Linked DNA regions of Drosophila melanogaster. The gene in region 1 interacts genetically with each later gene. Each region holds a gene or a part of one and is shown in the gene's direction. Other genes may lie near its edges.

Region 1 (8,131 bases):
AAAATCAACAACGGCAGCAGCAACAGCAACAGCAACGTCTGCAGCAGCAACATCAAAACCAACAGCAACGCTTGCAGCAGCAGCAAAAGCAACAGCAGCAAAGTCTACAACAGCAACACCAGCAACAACGTGTGCAACAGCAACGTATGCAACAACAGCAGCAGCATCAGCAGCAAGACAACAACCAATATCAGCAGAATCTACGACGTCCACAGATCGACCAGATGCCCTACAATAATCTCCAGCAACGATCACGATCCGATCTTCAGCTGCGCCATACTCTCAATCCGGAGTGTGACCGTCTGTTGAGTGAAATGGATCACAATCAACCTGGCAGCATCAACAAGGACGCCAACAAACCGTCCATGTTCTGGTCACGCGAATCGCTAAAGTACCTCGATGATCTTTTCAAGATGACCTCCAACACAGAGACCGTAGAGCGGCTGAAACGAGTGCTACAGCGATCGCAGCGTGGTCTGCTGTCGCACAACGATTACCGAGCGGTCATTCGACTGCATTCCCTGATGTGCAACTGAGGATTAGCCAGGGTCATGGAATTTATTTCCTGGTGGGTCACCTTCATTTTGTTTAACAAATGCCAACAGATTTCACAATGGGTATCTTAAAGATATTACCCAAAAACCGAATAAATACATAACTGACTATTTTGAAAAAAAAACTCGATTTTATGATTTTATTAGGAATGAAGAGGCTCCAAATAACTGTGTAAATGTGTTTAGGATTTGAGTTGAATTTGTTATTTAATTTTTAAGTGTAAGTGTAGAAATAGTAACAAAATAATGACATCAAAGAACCGAATTTCAAATAAAAAACGGGACTCATTTTCTACTTCGTTTGCAATAAGTTACTATTTATTTATTTCAAACTCAAGAATGTCACACTACAAATTATAAAATTAATGTTATACAGTTTCGTTGTCGGCATTTTATACTTTTTCCTTGGCTTTCATGTTACATGGTCAGTTGTCTTAGAGTAGAGTTGTCCTTGGTTCTATGCAGCGGTAGTCTGTTGCTGCTCCTGGGTGGTCGTGGACTGCGCCGAAGAGATCTCCCCAGACTTTTCGTTGACTCCCAGCCAGGGACAGCGCTTCTGCAGCTCCAAGCGGTATCTGGGGTGACTTATGGCATAGACGAATGGGTCTATGCACGCCACCAGTTTGCAGGTGCAGGCCGGGATCATCGTGGCTCCTGGTGTAAGCAGACTCTTATCCCCGAATGCCCCGATCAGCGACATTACGCCGTAGGGCGTCCACGACACGAAGAACAGGAAGCAGATGGTGATAGCCGCCTTCGCAATCCGTATCTCCGCCGTCTCCTTGCTCTTGTCCACATTGGAGCGCAGCGACTCCACGTTCATTTTCTTGGCCTGCTCCCGTAGGGCCTTTTCGTGGCTGAAGACATGGCCCACGATCTGCGAGTAGTAGTAAAGGATCATCAGCGTGGGACACACGAAGCTGAAAAAGAAGATGGTGCCCACAAACAACCGGGTGTCAAAGTTGTCCGAAAGATAGTCGAAGGAGCAGGACGTGAGGTAGCCCTCTGGAAATGCATAAAAGTGAAGAAGATTAATGGGATTTTTGGTATTAGGATATTTATTTACTTCATATTCGTAAAACGCAATTTTACTCTTTCGTAAATTTGTTTCTTCGAATTTCCCGATCCAAACTAAGTTCTTAAACATTCCCGCCAATGATGTGACACAAGGTCAAGGTATCACCAATCAATATTTTTATTTAATTTTTTGTATTGCCTATATTATTTGATTGGAAATACTATAAATCATAAAAAAGTATTTATTAATGAATTATTTTAAAAATTAGGCTTTAGTTGTCAATAAGAGTAACAGACTACATTATTAACTTTGATCCTTTAAAAATTATGCGCCTGATTCGATTTGTATTATTTCAAAACTGATGTTTTCCTGTTATTAAATTAATTTGACAAACGTGGCAAGGCTGTTAAGTAATCGATGACAGCAATTGATAGCTACCAGGAGGCACTGCGATGTTGCCGATTGCGTGTAATCGACTATCTGGAATCGAATAGACGACAATTGGGGTTCCATCTCTGCAACCGACGCGGACATTAGAAGAAACTCAGTATAGTAAAGTAAATTAATTAATTAACCAGCTAAAGGCAGACATCACGCCCAAAGTACATGGAGAATGCCGAAAAAGACTGAATTCCACACCGCGCAAGGGCAAGTGCAATAAACGCCGACTGCGACGATCAAAGAACGCAATATAGAAAAAGTGAGACACACGAAAAAAACCCATTTCGCTGCCTGTGTGTAAATGCAAATGGTTTATTTTTGTGCAGCAACAACAACAACACAACATCAGCAGCAGCAGCAACACAGAGGCAGAAAAGGCGAAAATAACTAGTAAAGCTAAATATGAATAAATGTGTATGTGTGCGGGTCGCGTTAAAGAAAATTAGATAAAAAGCCAAATGAAATTAGCTCACGCCTGAATTTCGAGTTTCGGTTCGGTGCAAGGTGAACGAAAAGGCGAAAAGCAATCAAAACAGTTTTTCCATTTTCCCAGTGTGCGTGTGCAGTAGCAAAACCACCTGCATTGGTTATATATATATATGCGGTTAAAAAAATAACAAATTGCAACGTAAAAAACGGAACTTGCACCTAGGATATATACACACACATGCTGGCTGTATGCGTGTGTGTGTGTGCATGGCCGTAAAGGCTGACTGACTGATAAAAAAGGAAACAAAAAAATAACAAGAAAATAAAATATACACATACACACACACACCAACGCAGCGGGGCACCAATACCTCGGCACAATTTCTTGGAGGCAGCCTGCCATGTAAGTTTACATATCAACGATTATGTATTTCGCAGTTGTTGTTGCTGTTTAAACAGCAGCCTAGTCGCACTTAATGGCGGCATAAATTAAAGAAAGATAGTCGCATTTCGCTTTGCTCCGCAACTTACGTTTTCTATTTTACCATTTTGCAACTCATGAAAGCAGAAGCTAAGTTAATTATATTCATGGCTATGACTTTTGTGGCAATTACCATTTTTACCCCGTATGAACGTTTCCAACGGTACGCAACGTAAACGAACTGTTAATTATGTGTGTGCGATCTGTGTCTGTGTTGTAAGTGTGTGAGTTTCCCTCCCCGCGGCTGCCATCCCCTACCGCCACCCACCCCCTACACATCCTCGTTGCATTTGTTACGTTACGCACTCTTCATTACGATATTACGTTTATGCGGGCGATGGTACGAATTTCATAATGGCAAATGTTCAAATAATTTTTCCAATATATAGGGTAAAGTATTAAACATTTGTATGTTCATGCGTTTCATGTGTTTTTGTTTTGGGTTAATAAGGAAACATATTATTTATTTTTTAGGTTTGAGTTTGTTTTCGAATATAAACAATATTACTGAACTCCTTTCACACAAAATTTTGATAGCAATCATATAGCAAATATATTCCCGTTAGGAAAGAGAACAAGTTTTGTTTGTACATCAAAGCTAAACAATTACGAAAACTTTATATTATTATATTGATATTTATCTTATAAACGCACCAAAGCACCCACAGCATATTGTTCACACTAATGTGTGCCCATTCTGTCCAAAGTGGACAAACCCGTGAAACCGAACCACACCCATTACAACCAGCACGACACCCACCATCGCACAATCCCGCCATGGGTCGACGTCCCTAATGGCCGTCCATCAGCGTCGGCTCCGTCAGCTCCGCCTGATAAGAGCCAACATATTTGCGCCGTTCCACACGTGCCGCCAAGAGGCTTTTGGGCTTGGGCTCGGAGTTGGAATCGGAATCGGGCCTTCATTTCGATCGGAGACGTGACGGCGACCTCGGGCTGTGTCTTTGCTTTTCGCAGACCAACTCCGGTTCGATACGTTCCGCTTTAAGTAATTGCTTAAATGCAATTCCCATACACGCAAATGCGTGTGTTTTCTTTTTTCGGTAATTACAACAATTGGGAATCCACGGCAAGGTTAAGGCCAGGAATGATAAATCGCTTTGGCTTTTCTATTGGGCGGCACGAAAAACGAACTACCTAGTAGTAGTGATTACGCGAAATAAGTTTTAAATTAATAAGGCTCAAATTAAATTATTACAAATGGATAGTAGTTTTGCTGGGCAACATTTTTTATAGCAATCGAGTAGATTTTGCTTACACAGTTTGCATTCATTTCATTTCTATTACTTCATGGAAAAATATTTTTGCCTATTACTCATGTCCCAGTGGGCACAATAGTTTGGAATGAACATTCAAATCAATAGTATGCTCCGAACTTAAGCCGCAAAATCGATAGAAAGCTCATAACATATGTTCAAATTTAAACCAGCATTTATGCAGTGTGTTATACTGTGATTTTTTTTGTTGGTTGATATATGTTATTTTTGGATTAACTAAGCCTAATCGAAACAAACTATTTTTGTTAAGATATCTGTATGGTTTTGTAGGTTATTGTTTTTTGGAGTTTCTTATCACTGAACGAACAAAATTACAAAAAAAAGAAAAAAAAATTATACATATGCTATGACTAAATTGACCGCATTACTCACTGACCTGTGATTGTATCTCATTTTAGACAGAAGCACAAGAAAGCCATTGCCGAAGCCACCGGGAGGGCGAAGAACCTGAACCTGGCGAGAATTGCAGGGACCCAGAAGAATTGTAGACACATTCGTGCCGTTGCGAGAACCCTTCCAATGTCCAATAAAATCAACCCGAAGCGCCGCGAACCGACAGCAGCAGCAGCAGGAGCCGGTGCCACGGGAGTGGCCACCAACACGAGCACCTCGACCGGATCCTCCAGTGCCGGCAACACGTCCTCGGCCAACACATCCTCGTCGTCCAGCTCCTCGCTGTCGTCCGCCGGTGGCGGTGATGCGGGCATGTCCGCCGACTTGACCTCGCTGTTTGAATGCCCCGTGTGCTTTGACTATGTGCTACCGCCGATCCTGCAGTGCTCCAGCGGGCACCTGGTGTGCGTGTCCTGTCGCTCCAAGCTCACCTGCTGCCCCACCTGCCGCGGTCCGCTGGCGAATATCCGCAACCTGGCGATGGAGAAGGTTGCCTCGAACGTCAAGTTCCCGTGCAAGCACTCCGGCTACGGATGCACCGCCTCGCTGGTTTACACGGAAAAGACAGAACACGAGGAGACGTGCGAGTGCCGGCCCTACCTGTGTCCGTGCCCGGGCGCCAGCTGTAAGTGGCAGGGCCCGCTTGACCTAGTCATGCAGCATCTGATGATGTCGCACAAGAGCATCACAACGCTGCAGGGCGAGGACATCGTGTTCCTGGCCACCGACATCAACCTGCCCGGCGCCGTCGATTGGGTAATGATGCAGTCCTGCTTCGGCCACCATTTTATGCTCGTGCTGGAGAAGCAGGAGAAGTACGACGGACACCAGCAGTTCTTTGCCATCGTTCAGCTGATCGGGTCGCGCAAGGAAGCGGAGAACTTTGTCTATCGCCTGGAGTTGAACGGAAACCGACGCCGGCTCACCTGGGAGGCAATGCCGCGTTCGATCCACGAGGGCGTCGCTTCCGCAATTCACAACTCGGACTGCCTGGTGTTCGACACGTCGATTGCGCAATTGTTCGCCGACAATGGCAACCTGGGCATTAACGTGACCATATCTCTGGTCTAAACGCACTGTCAATTCGTCGGGTTCTTTCATTTCTTGTGTTTACTATTCCGATACAAATACATATATAGTTTATAGCCCTCTGTTCGCATCAGGCGTCTAACTCGTGGACAGATTGTGAGTCTGGAGATTAAGAAGAAAGAGTTTTGCAGAGTTGTTTTATAAAAATGATTCTCTATTCTAAGAGCCACTTACATGCATATGTATATATATCTATGGAAATATCAGGCTGCTTCGATTATCACATTCGGCACGATATCGCAGTTTTCTTTGATTTTTAAGCTAAGACACTCACAATTTTCCAAAGCGAAATGGAAAGCGTATTAAAGCAATTGCTAAGTGATGTTCAGTGTTTATTGCACACGTTCGTTAAACCTGTAAAACCGCGTTTAAAATTCGTATTTTCATTTTTAGTTTGCACATGACTGTGTGTAAATCTCACTCGTTTGCAGAAAAATGCCAAATATTTTTGGTGAGATTTCGCAGATTTGTATAACACACTTTCCTGTCGAATGCGAAAATCGTGGCTGACCTGTATGTTTGTATGTTTAATCGGTTCGATTGGTACTCTAGTTCTAGGACATGATTTTTCAGTTACCGCACACACAATACTATATATTTCAAAGTTTCAGTGTTACCCGTTTTGTTAGTTCATGGGGTTCTGCTTTAGTTTAATTTAGTTCGTAAGGTCCACACACCTGGAGCAGAGCTGCCTGCGCGTGCCCACGTGCCCACCACCTACTACAGTGAACGCTAGGAACACACAGACCCACTCACCAAAACGAGGAGAACAGCAAGAAAGGCGAGGAGGTCACTCATCCACTCGAACATGTACTGCAAAGTCTAGTTTAGTTAATGTAAATTATTTTATACAATACTTGTAAATGGTAATAAGTAAAACGAACAGTTTAACGAAATTAACAAACCTAATAACCCACAAAGAAAAGTAATATTTGATAGCGATAATCTGTAATAACTCGAGAGTTGTTTGAAAGTTGCAGCCTAAACGAAACTGCGACCCGCAATTTTGTTCATGCCAAACCATCACAAAATAACAAAAACACACTAAAAAAAAAAGAAAACATTTTTTTTCGCAATGCTAAAAAGACAGTTGCCCCTTCCCATTTCCCCCCAAGTCCCCCCAAACATATAAAGCAATGTTAATGTTTAAATTTCTATCTAGTTAAGACGATCTCCCCGGTTTGGCTCATGTTTTGGTTTTGATTTCCATTCGGCCAACGTTTCCCAATCGAAAACGGAAGAAAAATTAATGATTTTAAGCATCTGCACCGTAATTAGCTTTTAATGCGCCGATTTACCGCGCCACTACCATATGAGATCACTCACACAGACACAAAACTACAAAACTGAAATAAACATGATTAGTAAAAGTAAACAATGCTCGTTAATTATTGAAATTAATCTGGGGGAAGCTGAATTACAAAGAAGAGCTACGCCACTTTATAAACTTGTCGATTTAAATCAGTTATCTGTTTAATTTGGATTATCTTTGAGATACTTGGGTTACTTCTAATGCGTTTTAAAACGTTGCAATAATAGATGGCACAAGTTTTTAGTGGTGCACCGCCGAAGCATCTTAAAGATTTAGCTGGATTGGTATCTTACTAGGATACTTAGGCCAATTTCAAAAATAAATTTTTAAGCTGATTTTAAAATGATTTAAAGCAAGTAGGCTCCGAAGTAAAAGTAGCTCATTATACTTTTAGCTTCGTTGTATTGTGGTACAGATTGTATTTTCGAATTCTTTTAAGCAAAATTTCAGTGTTCAGAAAAAGTAAAAAAAAAGTAAAACCATCGGCACTCTCATTCTTCAGAATCGTTTGGTTGTTAGGTCTTAGGATTAATAGCTTGCGCATTGATTGTTGGCTGAAGCACAGATGTCTGTTCGCAACTCACGCCCCCAGTTATCGTGGCCGGAGCGGGTAAGTCCGCAAAGGACTATTGACACTCCAACGGCATCCGGAGAAATGTTGACTCGTCGTCAATCGGCACCAGCGTTGGTCGTGCCGCCGGAGGAGACCACGCACGTTGTGGTGGTCAAGCGGCAATCCCCGGACGCAGCCGCTGCCGGAGAACTGGTGCCGTCTAGGCGGAAGGACTCGGTGGCTGTGCAGTCGGGAATTGTGGCCACTGGGCCATTGGACACAACACGCAGTGGTGCAAGAGACGATTTTCTAATGGCTTTGCTCGAGTGCCCGGTGTGCTTTGGCTACATAATGCCGCCAATTATGCAGTGCCCGCGTGGCCACCTCATCTGCTCCACCTGCCGCTCAAAGTTGACCATTTGCCCCGTCTGCCGGGTGTTCATGACCAACATCCGCAGCCTGGCAATGGAGAAGGTGGCCTCCAAGCTGATCTTTCCCTGCAAGCATTCGCATTTCGGCTGCAGAGCGCGGCTCTCTTACGCAGAGAAGACCAAGCACGAGGAGGA
Region 2 (5,669 bases), on another chromosome or scaffold:
CAAGTGAAGCGTTGCAGTGCGCGACAGAGAGGGCAGACCGTACGGTTGGCATGCGAGGGAGGGAGAGAACGAACCGCAAGCGGGCGGCAACAAAAGGAGAGCGCTGCGCCAGTCAATGGCTGCACCTGTAACCACCTGCCCATACCGCCCATCCCCATCCCTCCCTCCGTCCACCACTCCTAGCCCCATCAAAATGAGACAAAGCACAGTTATGCTCGGCTTTGGCGGTTGGCGGTTGGCTCATTAATGTCTGACACGTTTGAGCGATCACCGTGCTGCAGAAACTCGAAAAAAGGTACTGATATAAAAATATATAAAAAAAAAAACAAACAGCCCAAAAAAAACGCAGTGTAAACAATTTTTTTAAAGCCGCTCGTGATTAACATTAAAAACGCATTTCCAATGGAGATCTGATTCTGCATGCACCGATTTCCGAGAGGAACAGATAGGCGGACTGCGGCAGCCAAGCAGAACGTTTATAAATATAATACAGTAGTTAGTGGCTACAAACGAAACAACCAACCATGCTAAACTTACAACTTTTCTAAAGCTATATCTATTTGAATATTAGGTATCTAAATTTATAATCTGGATCAAGAACTCATTTAAGTATAACCACGGAGTTATTAGCGCGTTCTTCTTAGGCGGAGCTTACTGTTTAAACTATGAATTGGGCGGGAATTATATATTCAGATATGACACGACCCAAGTTGCAAGTGCAGCGGAAGTGATCCATTACGCAAGTTTAGAGCGGAAAGAGCGGTGCGATTGCTCGAAAAAAAGAGATGGCAGAGTGGAAGGTAGAAAATGAGTATTAAAACCCATGGGGGTTTTATTACAATTACAATTCTGTGACATGCCAAACGAATCCCTCGAACTGGAAACTCTCTGTTCCAACCAGAATTCTTTATTTTTGGTTTTCTTTTCCTGTTTTGGGGTTAAATCTAAATACATACAAATGGCATTATCAAAGTTTAAATAAAATACTACATTTTATAATACATAACTTAAAGGGGATATATTATATTTGATTGGCAATTATAGAAGTTCCTTGTTCTCCTAATATTACAAGTTTATCTGGTTCTTTGTGCAACAAACTCACCTTGTGGCAAAACGCGGCTGCCTCCTTGGCCACGCCTACTCCGTCCGCTGAGTGGGCGTGCGTTGATGGCGAGGTCGCGTAGACGAAGAGCGGTAGCGAGCTAAAGTTCCGTTTGTCCTGAAAGCGGCGGCTGAAGAATAACGGCTTGTGGCATCCCGCTGCAGCGGCTAGTATGTTTGTTGTTGTTGCCGTTTTCGTAACACTAGGTGTGGAAGCTACTGCTGCTGCTTCTTCTTGTCTGCGCGTATTTACTGTTGTTGTTGTTGTTGTTATGGGTGCTGCAGTTGTTGTGTTTGCTGTTGTTGCATTTGCTGGGGTCGCCATTGGCGTATCGCAATTTTCTCGTATTATCGCCGCTTCTTCCTCTTCGCTGCAAGTTGTTGTTGTCTGTGTTTGCGTTTTTGTTGTTGGCATGACTACAACTACAGCTACTATAAATCGAATATAAATATATCGACGGAGGCGTGGGCGGTGGCGGAGCTGTGGGCGTGTCCCTGCAGCTGCTGGCGTCCCTTATTGTTGTTTCTGTTGTTCTTGTTGTTATTACTTAGGACCTTGGCATTATCCTCCTCCATCTTTTTTGCTGTTCAAGAAGTCAGCGAAGTTCAGCGCTTGCCAAAACTGAATGATTAGCACTTGCACATCGTCGCGTTTATCTTGGCTTTCTTCATTATTTCTTGTTTTTCAAGTGCAAAAATATTGTACAAATTCTTGGGCCATACAAAAGTGTGAGTTCTGTGTAAAAATTCACAAAAAAATACGCACGAAGCCGATTGCGGGGGTGGGAGAGAGATGGCGATACACGAACGAGTTCAAAGGGCCGCCAAACTAGGAAAAACACGCCAACAAATCAAACAAAACACTTGCACAACCGCAATTCGATCAATGTCGAAGCAAAACAGCCACTAATATTAAGTATATTACTTAATTAACAAACACTTTTGTTTGAAATATTTTGCAGACAGTTAAAGTTAGAGCTGGAACCAAAATCGATGTTTATGCGATACTATCGATGTATAGGGTAAGAGGGCTGCATTGATTAAATTCAGCTACCGTCGATTGTTTTAACTGTTCATACTATTATAACGGCAGTTTCAGACAGCGGAAGCGCCATTTGGAGTAGTGAGAAAATAAAAAGTTAAATTAAATGAACCAGTTTATTTTGTTAAAAATATTTTCATCCTTATGATAATAAAATCTAAATACTAAAAATCTACTAACGCCTGTTATTCCCAAAAACTATCGATAGCACAACGGAAAATATCGACAAGTATCCTGAATTGGCACGTCGGCCTTGCCAGACCAGCGCTCTGGAGTGAATTTAAATTTTAAAATAACGCCCTGTCAATTCAGTTGTAGAACTCAGTAGCTAGTCGGAAAGTTTTCAAGAACTCGGATTACCAACATCTCAAAATTGCTCAGTAAAAACATTCCGGCAGCCTGCAACACGTTGGGTGTTAACAAATTTACATACAAGTTGCAAGCTTTTGGGCGCACGCACCATCGATAAGAAGGTAGTTCGAATAAAATATAACACCTCCTCGCTGCCGGTAAAACTATTTCTTCTGGCTGTTCCCGAACTAAAGTGAGTATGAAGAGTCTTGCATTGGCAATCAAATTGTAATTAACTGATTCATCCCTCACCTAAAAGGCGTTGCCACCCAATCGATCTGGCCACCCCTAGCGAAAAGGTCATATAGCTGGACTGCTCTGCTGGACTTCCGCTTCACAACACTACCACACGACACAGACACACCATTCCTCTCGCTCGGGCTTACACTTCGGTGTAACGATTGTGCTTCGTTGCGTTCTCAGCTCACTAACGGTCGTCTCTATCGCACAAACGGTCGAAAGGCCCCGCATTGATTGTGAAAAAATAATCGTCGCCGTAGTCTTCGTCGGGTCGCCGTTTTTACTTGCAGTGCGCTGGTGCTGCTTTATTTCGTGACAAGGGACACTCAACCGAAAGAGCCATATTTAAGCATCAAAGTTCTAGAGGCGCAACGCAGCTTTGTGTTTCGTTTTTCGTTCAATTCTAAGCAGGAGGATTATATATTGAATAAAACCCAATTCTGTGCGAAGAACAAAAGAAATACGCGAGACACCAACACCAGCACACAACCAACCAAACACACACACAACCAACCAAACACACACACAACCCAGAAAATCAAATTTCAATCAGAAAATGGCGTTAAAAAGAATCAATAAGGTATGTGAAAAAAGGAATATCTCAAAAAACTTTGCGAAACGGACTAAAAAAAGAAAGAACAGAACCCTTTGCGATACACCAAAATGATAGTCTAAAAAAAAAGCGAACAGACATCAGTTTTCAACGGGAGAAAAATTTTATGCAAGAAATGTGAAACGTAGGTAGTAACCGAGGAGAAGAAAGAAGAAGCGGGGGGAAAGAAGCGTGCAAGAGGGAAGGGAGAAAATGAGCTGTGGAGTTACCATTTAATTAATAAGTTAGTAATTAGGAGCAGATTAGAAATTTTGAGGGTGGTGAAAAAGGTATAAGGATGTGTGTGTGTGGTGGGCAAGGCAACGTGTAGTGCAGTCATCGCTTCCGTTACTTTTGCGAGAGTGTGGGATAAGTGTGTGTGCGATGCGTGTGCGTGAAAGTGCAATGCAAATGTGCATTGTTTGTGTGCGTGTGTGCCGGGCACCTGGATGCATTTACATTAATGCAACTATACGGCGGAGTTTTCGCAGCTCTACGGGCGCTGTTACCCAATACACGCTGTACACGGCACTCGCACACACTCTCAGCCTCGCAACAGTCACACATAAACGCACACACTGCCAGCGCCGCAGAAAGATCCAGCAAAAAATAAAACAGAGCAAAAGCAAGAAGCGTATAAAATTAACCTAACCCTACTTTTTGCGCTGATAATTCAGAAATAGTGCTGCCCCCAAGCATATATATTTATATATGTATTTAGGTAGAGTGGTTCTAGCGTGCGTGCTTCGATAATTATTTTTAAAGTGCCTGCGCGTCGTTTGTCCTTGTCCAGTAAATGCTTTTTTACACCCCAATGTTCAAGGCCCTGACAACCCGATATTTTTTCAAAGTCATCCCAGCCTTCCTCAAAAGCATTAGTAATATCTCGAAGTTGTGGAAATGTTACTTGGCAAATTGGGATCTTTTTTTACGTTTGAAGCCGGTTATCATAGTCATACCCCACACACACACACATTAAAACGCTCGCAAATACAAAGTCTCGCCATCACTTGGCTATGGCCATTGCATGCCATCTCGCTCTGGCCCTGGCGCATTCCCTTTGCCCGCGACAGCTGAGGCCTCATTCGGTCCCGCTCGCGCAATGGGGCAGAGCCAAAGAGAGCGCAAGTGTGTGAGTGCTAGCGGGGCTTAGTGTTGCAAAACACCGTCAGCCAAAAGGGGGCCCCCAAATAATTAGTTATAAATTATAATTAAGCATAATTTACATACAAAATGAGCAGCGAATGCGGAATTTGTTCATATCTATGCGTATGTGTGAGCGTGGTGTGTATTTGTGTTTGAATGTGTGGGGCGGGGGTCTGCTGACTGTCTCGACAAAAGCAGCGCTGCCTGCGTCGGCGTCATGGCCATTGAGTTTTCCTCGTTTTTCGTAGTTTTCTATCCATTATAACATTTTAATGCCTGCCTAAATGAAAACGAAATGGCAAGCGGCAAACCGGAAATAAAAGTATACATTGTAGTAAACTCTTAAAATCACTCACGCCCCCTTTTTGTGGTCAATTCTTCAAAAGCCTTTTTTCTCTAGATGGCCTCATTTGCCAAAAAAGAGAGTTAAAGAGCGAGAGAGAACGGCTTAAACGCCGATCGGAGCTCACTTGAACCGTACACTGAACGAAATGGGCTTTAGAACCAATGCATATGGCATTTAGTCTTACTGAACCAATTCTTAAAGTTCACAATATTAATTATTCGAATAAGAATTAAATAGAAGTTTGTATTGGTAGTGCACCTGGTCTAATATTGATAATATTATCGAATTTTCTTGCTGTGCACAAGTGTGCGTGTTTGTTTTTACTTCATTTGTTCGTCTGATATGAGTCATAACCGCTCCGACTCCCAACGAAAAAAGAAATGTAACAATTTCTTGTAATTTATTTTTGCTCAACAGGTACAATTCCCAAAATGAGTAAGTGAGATGGGGCAAAGAAACACGGTGTTTTTCGCGACGGCTATTTTTGTTGTGCTCCACTCTGATTTTGTGGTGCCGTTACAAACACACGCATACACTGAAGCTCAGTCTTCTCACTCTCCTTCATTCTTCCTCCTCCTGCTGCTCCTCCTCTTACTTCTCCACTGAGTCGCGCTACTCTTTCGCAGCTCATCTTCATTATTCTTTTTATATATATATTCTTTTTTTTTGCCGGTTTACCTTACACCTCATTCTCTCTCCCCGTTTGGAGTGTGTGTGTGTGGGGCAGCTGTGATAAGTGAAGAAGAGTCGGAGTGTAAGAGAGAGGGAGGGGAGCCGCTCAGCTGTGTGCGTGCGAGTGCAACAGGGATGGAGCGACTGGTCGGGGGGTGGGGCAGAAGGAGACAGCGCCA
Region 3 (5,251 bases), on another chromosome or scaffold:
CAAACCTAACTAACCGATTGTACTTAAAGAAAGCGATTAAGGCTTCCATTATCAGCGTATAAAGAGAGAGATAACGGCCTTCCTAGACATGTCTTATCTGTCGCCCAAGTCTGGTCCCTCAATCCTTTTCCACTATCAGCGGTGCCAAAGTCAAAGAACTCCCATATCTATGCCAGATATATAATCTTAGATGCGGGGAACTGTTGCCGTTTCCCAAGAACACGCATTGATTGACGGTCTTTCCCATGCATGCCTAATGATCCTTCAAATGGGCCCTAATAACGACCAGCCCCCCTTGGGATCGGATCAGGTAACGCCCCGTCCCGGGGGTTACCCAAAAAGCGACACGCTCCCAAGACCCATCAGGCAGTTGACCAGTGGGTTACGTGTGCCATCGTGCACAGCAAAACTAGTGTATAAAGTTTATATTATCTAAGGTAGCGATATTTTCTAAAACGTAAAGAAACAATTACGTTGCAAACAATTCTCTCAGTGCAGGGCAACCCCAGCAACAATTATTCAACTTAAAGTCGGTGCAGCGGGGAAAACATGGAATCATTTCGGTTTCAGTTAGAAGTGTGCGCGAGCGTTCTCGAAAGGGGCGCTGGGGGGCGGGGCAGTCGGTGGGAGGTTGAGCGAATAAGAGAGTCGAGCATACGAGGCACGCTTTTCCGATCAAACCAGTTTGTCGTAATAGCTGGCATTTGGAATTAGTTACTGCCGATATATTGCTGCACTTGGAATGCGCCCAGATAGAAATTCCCGCACCACGCCCCTCGGCGACGATCCTCCCCTTTGAATAGAGAGTTGACTATTTTTAGCGGGCACCAGAACTTCATTAAAATACAATCAATTTGCAAGTGCAGCGCGGAGAAAATAACAAACAAGCACCAGCCACCCACTCTCTCTTTCTCCTCTCTCTCCCCCCCCCCCTCTCTCACACTCTTCCATACTCCGGTGTTCCCAAAGAGAGCGGAGAGATGGCATTTATGCTGAGCAGGCACAAGCAGAGAGGTGAAGATGGGACTGAAGAAGAAGCAGCCGCTGTGTCGGCAGAATGAAAACGAGGACGACCAAACTGCATTGTTGTCATATTTCGTAATACGCTGATGCAGCAGAGAAGCGAAGGGGTGGTGGGCGCAGAGGTGGAGCAGCAGGTCACGGCGGTGAGAGAGAGCGAGAGCGCAGGAGACTTGTTTTCAACACCAGCTTATCAGCGGGAGAGCGCGAGAAGAAAGAGCATAAGGGCAGAGCGCCAACGCAGCGGCGAAATGGAAATGTCAAGTTGGGACTGCGCTCTCCCTCGCTCTCGCTGCCAGCAGCGGCTGCGCTGTTCTCTTAACCATTTGGAGCCCCATTCAAATGTTCGATTCTTGCCATTCCATTTCGTCCGCTCATCCGTCCACATCCACTTGCGTTTTTGGTGCCCTGCGAGCGGGAGAGCAATGTGAAACGGGAGCACTACAAATACCGCCCACTACCACTACCAATTCCCATACTCCCATATTCCATGCTATTCCCAGCTCAGTTCGTGCCGTGTGATCAAAGCTTTCGGTAAGGCTTCGGCTCGGCTTTGTGTATCCACCTTAGCGGCTCTCTGTGGTGCTCGTTCTGCCTCTCTCTCTCTCTCGGTTTTGGGGCTCAGCTCAGGGACAACAAATGCGGTAAAATGGCTTCTGCGTCGACGTCGACATCCCTGCCGTTTCAGTTCTGATTGGAGGTTCGTGCGCGGCGTTTCCTCAGCTGATTTCTTTGCCTTTTGCCTTTTCGCAACCCGCTTTCGGCTCCGTGTTCGCCTCGGTTGCCAATTACGTGTAACCAACAACAAGAGAAGAAACAGAAACAACAACAAGTACTTTCGAGTGTTGCAAGCCTTCTTCCGCCGAAGAAACCGCAAAACGGATTACCAAGAATATTTGTAAAATTGGTAAGTGGTGAGATTATCCACGAAATAGTCTTCGAAAAAGGTCAAATCATCAAGTGTTCAAATTTAAACGACAAGTTTAAGTATTCTTATTACCTTCTTAAGACTTATCTTGAATCTCAGATGAGGATTTTATTGATTAAGATTCAAAAGTTCTTTAACTGGCTTTTGTTTCTGGAGTCCGTAGTGATTTTTTTAAAGATTTGAATGTTCACTGAATTATATTTTTGGATTAGAATCTAATCACTTTAAACAGGACATCGCAGGAGTCGAAAACAATTGATGACAAAATCAGCAGTTAATAGCTTTTGGATTACAGAATTATAGCAATAAAAGCCTGACAAATTGGCCAAGGGTCGTTTTGGAAATCTAGCAGTCTTAAAAGCCTAGCAGATACATTTTCTTCTAACAATTTCCCGCTCACACGCTCAGTACATGCACCAACACACGCCTATTGGAAAGACGCTTTTGTATCCAACTTATACAGATAGTGGTACAGCCACAGATACAAATGCACACATGCCGTATACGGCACATGGGGAGTAATGCCGCCACACTAGATACCAGATACTAGATACATAGATTCGTCCGCCGCTTATTTGTCGGTCGTGCTTCAGTGATCTCTGTCATTTGCAGTTGCCCATTTCCTTTTTTATCCCCCACTTCCACATCCAGTCGTCATTCGCCCGGCGCACCCCTTTTGATCACTCTTCCAGTTCCAGTGCCTTCTGGTGGCTTCCAGTGGCTGCAACACTTGCGGTGTTTTTCTGAATGAACCAATGGAGTGAATGTGTGAATGAGTAATCCATGTACGCAACATGTTTGCACTGCACAAATTATTTGGACTCAATGTATTGATTGTGTAACTCGGCTTTACGTTTATTTAATCGCAATAACTAAAGTGAGCTACAACTCTATACGTTGGTTACTATTCTTGGGAGGAAGGAAACCTGACAACCCTGGCCAAGGGGCAACTCTACACTTGCACCTGTGCTCCACGCTAAGCCACAAATTCAATTATGCAAATCAAGATCACAGCCCAAAAAACACAATCTTCGTCTCCGATCTGCATTTGTCTTTGTATGTTATGTTTATTTGTTACTTCTGTCGTTGTTTTTAATTCGCTAACCCACTTCACACAGTGGCAGCAACAACAAAAATCGTGAATTATACTTTGTATTGGGGCGAAAAGGAAACGAATGCCCAGTCTCAGATCACACATAAATTTTGCGGTTGTTTTGTTAATGAAACGACAAGAGCAGCACTATGCGCTCTTTACTATATATTTCCCGCTCTCCGCGAAAGCTTTTCTGTTTGTTTGCCCCACACACACAAAGACACTTGTGAACACCTTGCGCTCACTTAACATTATGCTCGAATTATAACTGTTGTTTAGCCGGCGATCGAAACGGTTAAAGCAGCAATGAAAGAGGGAAAAGAGAAAGAGGATGACATGACTAACAACGCAAACGCGATCTGAACATATGCATTGTTGTTTTCGCTCGTAGAAACCCATAAAAAGTCGAAACAGTAAAAGTCCAAGCGGCGTATACGCAATATCAGCGGGGGATAGGAAAAGGCAGAACTCTCTTATCTATTCTTCTCTCACTCTCCCTTAAGTACACAGGGCAAGAAATGTTAAAACATTTTTAACAAATAATGATTGAAATAATACAGGAAATTTTTCCGGTGCATTGGTTTAGTGCACGTGACTCTTTCACAAATTCTACTTAAATGTATCTGCCATCTTGCGCCGATTTCCTGCCCCTTTTTCGTATTCAACAATTATTCGGAACCAAATTTGCACAATACATTCCTTGATTATTGTTATTTAAAATGATTTTATATTTATTTATTTCATTCGCAAGTGCCAGCTGCCATGCTAAATAAATGTCTGTTGTGCGCGGTTTCCCCGTGTATATTCATGTGGTATACCTTTTCATCCACACGATACTCCTTTTCATATTCTGGGGCTTGTGGCATTACAAGTAAATGAAATTTTTCTTGAATGCATTTCTGATTTGAATCACCTTCGCGGAGAACGCCAGGTATTTCGCTTTCGGGGTTCTGCTGCCCCGATTGCCCATCCTGATAGCATACAAGTCGCGCGTGTACCCCATATATCTCCTTTTTTAATTAGCAATCTGCACAAAAACTCCGACTACTGCAAAAACCTAAATTCAAAAGTGGAACACAAACAAAAAACGCTCAAAAGTCAGCAAAAAAATGAGGAATCAACGAAAAATACAAGAAACAGAAAAGGTCAGTGACCAAAATATGTTTTGTAACTCAGGCAGAAATCTTCGCGAAAAGAGAATGGGCCGAAAAAAGCTAAGCAAAAGACGGAAACCAGAAGGCAGCAGTGGTAACCCTCCAGATATAGTTACAGTTGCCCAAAGATCATAAATTTTTACTTACATGGATATCAAAGATTCATAATAAATTTAAAGAACAATTACCAAATAAAACCTAATGTTATTTCTTAAGGATTTCTAGTAATTTCCGGACCCCAAACACGTAGTTAGGCTTATTTCACAATTTCCGCCTGCTGGCTGAAATTAAATATTTTTTTTACCGTTTTAAGCCTTTTGCAGGCCTTACAAGCATACATACGCATGCACTATAATTCAATTAACGACGTCGACGCCGCTGCCGGCGCAGCTCAATGTCCGCGTCAAGTATACGCCCTGTGGTGCCTGAAAAACTGAAGAACTCAAAAATCACTCACCCACACAATCGGCGGTGGATGTGTTCATCTGCCAGCCGTTTCCTATTTTGCATTCTTCAACGAATGGCAGCCACAAAAGCGAATTTCAAAAAGGAGAGCGGATGGCCAGGCATTTGACTTAAGGCTGCGAACTTATAGTACGCCGCTGTGTTTGTGCGGGAAAAGGCAACATCAGCGAAAAGAAATAAACACACAGAGGTAGACAGCACACTACGAAATGCAAATGAAATGTAATTGAAAGCAGCGCTGCCAACGCCTCTGCTACCCTTAAGCTTTGCCAGGGGACGGTGTCCGTTCCGTTTGTCCGTGTGTGGGACAACCGGAGGTTGGGGATACAAGGCGGGCACAGTGGAGCTGTGTTCAAATTCCACATTGCCCTTTTTGTTTTCATAATTGGACTTACAATCAATCTTGAAGGTTGTAGCTCAAAACAAATATACATTCCTGACAGTCCTTACAGAAATTCCGTTGAAATTCCATGTTGAGCTCAAAACGATAATATGACATATAAGCGTCCAAGAAGTACTGAGATTTATCATAACTATTATGCCAAATCCTCAAAAATCCTTTTTACCCAAAATCATCGCATATGCCCCACT
Region 4 (5,437 bases), on another chromosome or scaffold:
AAATACCAATCTGTACTGGAACAGATTTCACTAATTACTTTTATGACCCAAATTTGCTGAATGCGCAGTTTGCTATAAATTTCTACCTTTGAGCGGTAATAAACTCTGGGAACATCAGTTGCAGACTAGATATTGCCATTGATATAGATCAATGGCTTATTTTGTCCTGTTGTCCTGTATTCCTGAATGGATCTTGGGGTCTTTGGGCAATCTACATCTATTAAAAAGTGTGGTAACTGTCAATAATCTAAAATGTATGGTATTAAAATATTTCAGTTGTTATAATTGTTGTATAATTGTTTTTAATTCTAAATTCCAATAACTTATTCTAAAATCTTTTATAATGAATTAAGAGGTATCTCTTAGTCCAGAAGACGTATGACGACTTTTTCTAAGAACATTTTCTTTTTATTCGTTTCAGTCACTTCTCTCGCCATTTCCGAACTAATCGAAGACGCTTTCTGGCAGAATTTATTGCTGCTTCGGCGGGGGCGTGGCAGGCGGTGGGCGGTTAAGATGTAGACGAAATGGAGGCGTGGCAGGGGCAAAAACTGCTCCTTTGACCTGTCTGCCTCAGTCACTGTTGTTGCTGTTGCTATTGTTATATATTTCTCCTTCTTTATCGCCCGAAGCTCTGCAAACAAGTTTCTTGTGTCCCGACAAAAAAGGAACCAACATGAAAAAATGGACCAAACAAAATAAGGGAAAATATATTACAGAAAAAAACTCTTTTTCGCCGTCAGCTGCTCGATTGCAGAAAACTCGTTGCGCTTGTTGCGCGTTTTGTTGTGAATTATAAAGAAAATAAAAAAAGGAGCAAATTTCATGAAATCTTGCTTAGGAATGGGTAGGCCTTTGATGTTTTTAGGCCGTCTAATAAGCCGCTGAAATTATTGTTTTAGATTTTTTTCTTCTGATTTGGGAGCGCCCGTCTGCGATTTTGCAAAAAATTTGTGTAAATTTTGAATTTTGCGGGGGCGTGCCGACATTTGGTAATTGCGGTGGGTGCAACAGGCGACAAAAACGCTATAAAATAAGCTATAAACTGGGATTAAGTCGTTGTTTAACAATCATATAAAAATGGTAAAGGTAAAATAATAATAAAGTGTGTGTTAAATAAAAATTACAATATTACAAGCATTTCCTTCAAATTAATTAAATTAAATTTTTTATTGCACTTAAGCAACAATTTTAAAGTACCGAAAAATACCAAGTAAATACCAAATGATGCTCATTTTCATTTCCCCACTGAAAAAGCCACAGCAACAACACTACGTCGCAGCATACGGGACCGGAAGTTAGAGAGCGCTCGAGTGCGAACGGGACAACAGTATGAGTCCCAAAAGTTGTTGCTGTCTCCCCAAATGGCGTTTTTTGAGCGACTTCGCCGCAAACAACAACGCGCTCTCAGTTTATGGGAGAGAGAGTTTGCTTGTTTTTGTTCCTTCGCTGGTGGTGTGGTGGGGGCGAGTGAACCGCTTATGTTGTGGGTGGTTGTTGCCATCGCATCGCAAGAGAGAGAACGATTCCGCTCTCCTTTTGGATTACCCTGTACTTCAGAAATTCCCAGAGTATATTGCGTTTGCAGAGTATTATTTTAAAATATATTTTATATTATATCTATTTTTTAAATAAAATTCCTAAAGTAATTTTTTAAATTATATTTATCATTGGGAAGTTAAGCTTAGTGTATCTAAAACTTATTGTATCTAAAAACCGGGTATCTGCAAGTTGGAAAACTCGACCACTTGTTTTATTTTATTATGCTTGCCGCAAACGACAAACAACCGAGAGAGATAGATCGACAAAGAGAGGAAGAGGTATAAAAAGCGAGAGGCGGTGAGAGAACTTTTCCGCGGGGGCCGCTTGTACTTGTATCTGTATCTTTCGGACTCAGTTTGCCTGCGACCGTTACAACAGCCAGTTGATTCGAAGCGGAGCGATTCGTGGATTCGTTTTCATCGTGTCGTCGTCGTTTTGTCGTTGATTTCCGTTTGTGCATGCAGATAAAGCCAGGTCTTAACTTGATTCTGGACTGGGCCGAAAATCGAAATCGAAACCGAAGTGGGCTAATGGAAAATAAACAAACAAACAAAGCTTGAATTTTGTTTGCCGCGCATTTAAAGTAATTCCTATTTGTCGCCCCTAGAAAATACAATAATAAGAAAATCTGTTTCTGACATGTTGCATGACTGAATTAAATTACGTGTTAAATTGTTAAGCTAAATGAACAAACCGCATCCATAAAACGGATGCCAGTGCATGCAAATTAATTAAAAATACGATTCGAAATCTCTCTACACATGCATGCACAACCCATCAAGCTTTATTCAAATCAATGACTTGAGCGGCTAAATAAAATATGTATTTCATGGCTATTAAGATTATAAACAAAATTTATCATTAAATCTAAAATCAACTTTCATGGTTTATTAACTAATGATATGTTTAACTAATGAATGCCAAAACATAAAGCAATTTAATTCGCTATGACTAAGAGACCGATAATCCATACAAAAGACGAGTTCAAGATATGTGTGTATAAATAATATAAAACAATGAACTCTCAGCTCGAGATAAAAAGCCCAGTAATTTGACTAAATAAAACATGTGTAATTAAATAAGTGCTTTACTAATAAATTGATACAAAATTCAATTCAAATGGATTAAATTTATATCAAATTTCGATTCGAGATTGGTGAACATTTGTGCACTGGAGAAAACCATCAATTTTTAAAACAGAAAAATCCATTATCAAACTACAAGCTGTGGTTAATGTTTACTGTGGTTGTTGTCGGTGACTAGCTCAGTTTTATCAACAACAACAATTTTGCGTTTCAGTTTTGTGTATTTCTCAACGAGTTGTGTACGATAAGAACTGAAAGGAGACCTAAGATTTGAAGAAAATCAGAAATGGCTCTAGGGAACTAACGATAATGAAATATTTTACTACAATTTAACAAATTGTCGTTATTTAAAAGAAATAAACACGCATAAGCCCGTGTACAGTTCAAAATCCCATGGAATATGTGACAATTAAATTAATTAAGCTTAAACAACAGATACGATAACTGAACACTTTCCAACCGAAATAAATTTGATTTGTAAATTTCACATAAATCAAAGCGAAATAGCTGGCAATCCTTCCCTTCAACTGAATTAAACAATTACTCTTTGTTTCTCAGTTTTAAGCATTCAAAATCAACAAAATGCGTCAGCTGCGAGCTGAGCTTTAAAAGAAATACGAGCTGAGCAAACAATATAAGATAAACACAGAAAGTCAAGTACAGTCAGTGCTCCAATTTTGTAACCCACAAATATATTTTAGGATTTTCCCAATAAAGTAAAGTGCAAATTGTTTAAAACGACAGCTCAAAAATAAGTCATGGTTTTTTTTTCGAAATATAAATAAAATAGTTTCTGTTCTTTACACTTTAATGACAGTAAGTTAGAGCCTATAAATAACAATTACTTGGAAATACTGAATTTAGTTGCATACATGCTACAAAGTAAGCTCTTAATTGTTTTTTTTTTATCATATTTTTCGACGTTTATAAGAATACGTATTTTATGAAAATCTGCAAAGTTGCTTAAAAAACCTTCAACATTTCCATGTTTGAAGGATAGATAATGGAGTTATCGTTGAGGGTGTTCCACTATTCCAGAGCTCACTTTAAATTGGGGGGAGAACAAAGCGGGCTATAAAGACGCTCGTTCGGCGACTCAGTGTGCTGGCTATATGCGACTATATGGCTATATTGTAGGCCTATTGTCTGGGGAAACTGCATGGAACTGCATATCGGAAATGATTATGGGGGGAGTACCAGCTTGATGACGGTAGAGGCGCGATAAAAGACACACAAAAGGGGGGAGAAAAAAAAAGGTTGGTACGTCATTAACTGACTCAGCCGCATGTTGCATCCAAGCTTTTTTTGTTGCTCCTTTTTCTGCTCAGTATTCACGTCCTGCAGAGAGAGTCCCAAAATCCAGAGAGAGAGCGTGGAGAGCGAGCGGAGAGGGAGAGCGGCAGAGCTTCAGCGCAGCACGGCGAAATTCGCTGAGCTCGCCTTAAACAGTTCGCAGCCGCTCCTTCACCGTTAGTTAAAAAAAATTCCTTGCCCGAAGCGGAAGGATTGTCGAATTTCGTGGATTTTTGCGAATATTTCCCGTGTAATTTTCGTCACGCGTCGTTTATTTGCACCAGCGAGTGTGTGTGAGTGTGTGTATAACGTACTGGTGTGTGTGCGTGTAAGTGACTCAACTCGAAGACATTTTTGTTTCTTTTGTCGAGGGACGCTTCTTTGGTTTTTTATTTCTCTTTCACATATTCGCATATTCTTTTGCGGCGAATTCAATGACGTCGCAGAAATTTGTTTTTATGCCATGAATTTATGTTTCTGTATGCGTGTGCATGTGTTTTTGTTCAAGCAAATCGATTAAATTTATGAAAAATTAATACGAAAACCGGCAGCGAACTATACAAAAACTATGCAAGCGATCCAAGACTCAAATGTTTTTAATTAAAAGCCGTGTGTGAAATATTATCAAACCGCAACGGCAAAAACAACAATATTTTATCACCATTTTGAGAGCGGCACGCACGTGTGTGAGTTCTTGAGTGTTAGTGTGTGTGTGTGTGCAGTGGCGTGTGTGTATGTGTCGAAAAAGCCGGCAATGGCAAAAGAGAATTCAGAATTCAGCATTGAAAGGCGAGAAGCAAAAGGCAAAAGCGAATGCCAAACAGCGAAAGTAAAAGCGTAAAGCCAAAACAAAGAAATGCCAAAGAAAACCCAGAAAGCCAAAAAAAATTGTTAAAATTAATAAACAATAATGCAAATCAATGTTATGGGAAATGGAAAAGCGCTTCAGATACAAATATCAATGAAAACACAAATATTGACAAATACATTTAATGTAAACATTAAAAAGTTGCATGACTATATACTTTTACTAATAAAATAACATAATGCATTCTTAGAAAAAATCCATAAAACATGTTATAACAATAGTTTAATAATACTTAATTTTTTTTCTAGAAAATCTGAAACCTTGCCATCTAATATTGGTGGTATTAAAATGAGTATTACCTAAGAAAAACAAAAATAATTCAGTGCGGTTATAAAATACATAATATTTAACAAAATAGTTGCAAAAAGTCAACAGAAAAGTGCAAAAAGAAAAAAATCTCAAGAAAAACAAAGTATTTGGTGCGACCTAAAGTGATTTTCTCAGCGTGTGTCTTTGGGATAAGCGAAAAACCAGCAAAATTTACTGCTTTGGAAACTCCGCTCTCAACATAAGCACCAACAACAACACCATCAACCCCCCCGGCGGCAGCAGCACCCACCTCCAGATTCAGCACCACCAGGCTCAGCACCACCCCCAAAACAGTGCGAGAATGCTGTTCGAGAATCCGGCGGTTGCGGCCAAGTTGCCC

The links.
Region 2: of sina (region 1) and eff, a change in one rescues a mutant of the other (synthetic rescue), as found in Drosophila melanogaster (2 studies listed by BioGRID, with this or other methods).
Region 3: of sina (region 1) and ttk, changing one suppresses a phenotype caused by changing the other (phenotypic suppression), as found in Drosophila melanogaster (3 studies listed by BioGRID).
Region 4: of sina (region 1) and msi, changing one enhances a phenotype caused by changing the other (phenotypic enhancement), as found in Drosophila melanogaster (3 studies listed by BioGRID).

The regions. Positions count from the first base shown.
Region 1 is NT_037436.4:16,851,681-16,859,811, forward strand, and holds sina (seven in absentia), read left to right. Parts: upstream 1-2,070; 5' UTR 2,071-2,845; intron 2,846-4,238; exon of another isoform or gene 4,239-4,304; intron 4,305-4,616; 5' UTR 4,617-4,737; coding exon 4,738-5,682; 3' UTR 5,683-7,032; downstream 7,033-8,131. Other genes in the region: Zcchc7 (zinc finger CCHC-type containing 7), read left to right, coding at 1-536; Rh4 (rhodopsin 4), read right to left, coding at 1,012-1,559; sinah (sina homologue), read left to right, coding at 7,578-8,131. UniProt on the Drosophila melanogaster protein: E3 ubiquitin-protein ligase that is required for specification of R7 photoreceptor cell fate in the eye by mediating the ubiquitination and subsequent proteasomal degradation of Tramtrack (ttk).
Region 2 is NT_033777.3:14,738,025-14,743,693, reverse strand, and holds the start of eff (effete), read left to right. Parts: upstream 1-2,374; 5' UTR 2,375-2,687; intron 2,688-2,753; 5' UTR 2,754-3,290; coding exon 3,291-3,314; intron 3,315-5,669. Other genes in the region: jvl (javelin-like), read right to left, coding at 1,103-1,516. UniProt on the Drosophila melanogaster protein: Catalyzes the covalent attachment of ubiquitin to other proteins. Mediates the selective degradation of short-lived and abnormal proteins.
Region 3 is NT_033777.3:31,712,343-31,717,593, forward strand, and holds the start of ttk (tramtrack), read left to right. Parts: upstream 1-1,524; 5' UTR 1,525-1,927; intron 1,928-5,251. UniProt on the Drosophila melanogaster protein: Binds to a number of sites in the transcriptional regulatory region of ftz. Isoform beta is required to repress inappropriate segmentation gene transcription and repress genes incompatible with development of photoreceptor cell fates.
Region 4 is NT_033777.3:25,514,225-25,519,661, forward strand, and holds the start of msi (musashi), read left to right. Parts: upstream 1-1,893; 5' UTR 1,894-2,125; intron 2,126-4,098; exon of another isoform or gene 4,099-4,248; intron 4,249-5,036; 5' UTR 5,037-5,398; coding exon 5,399-5,437.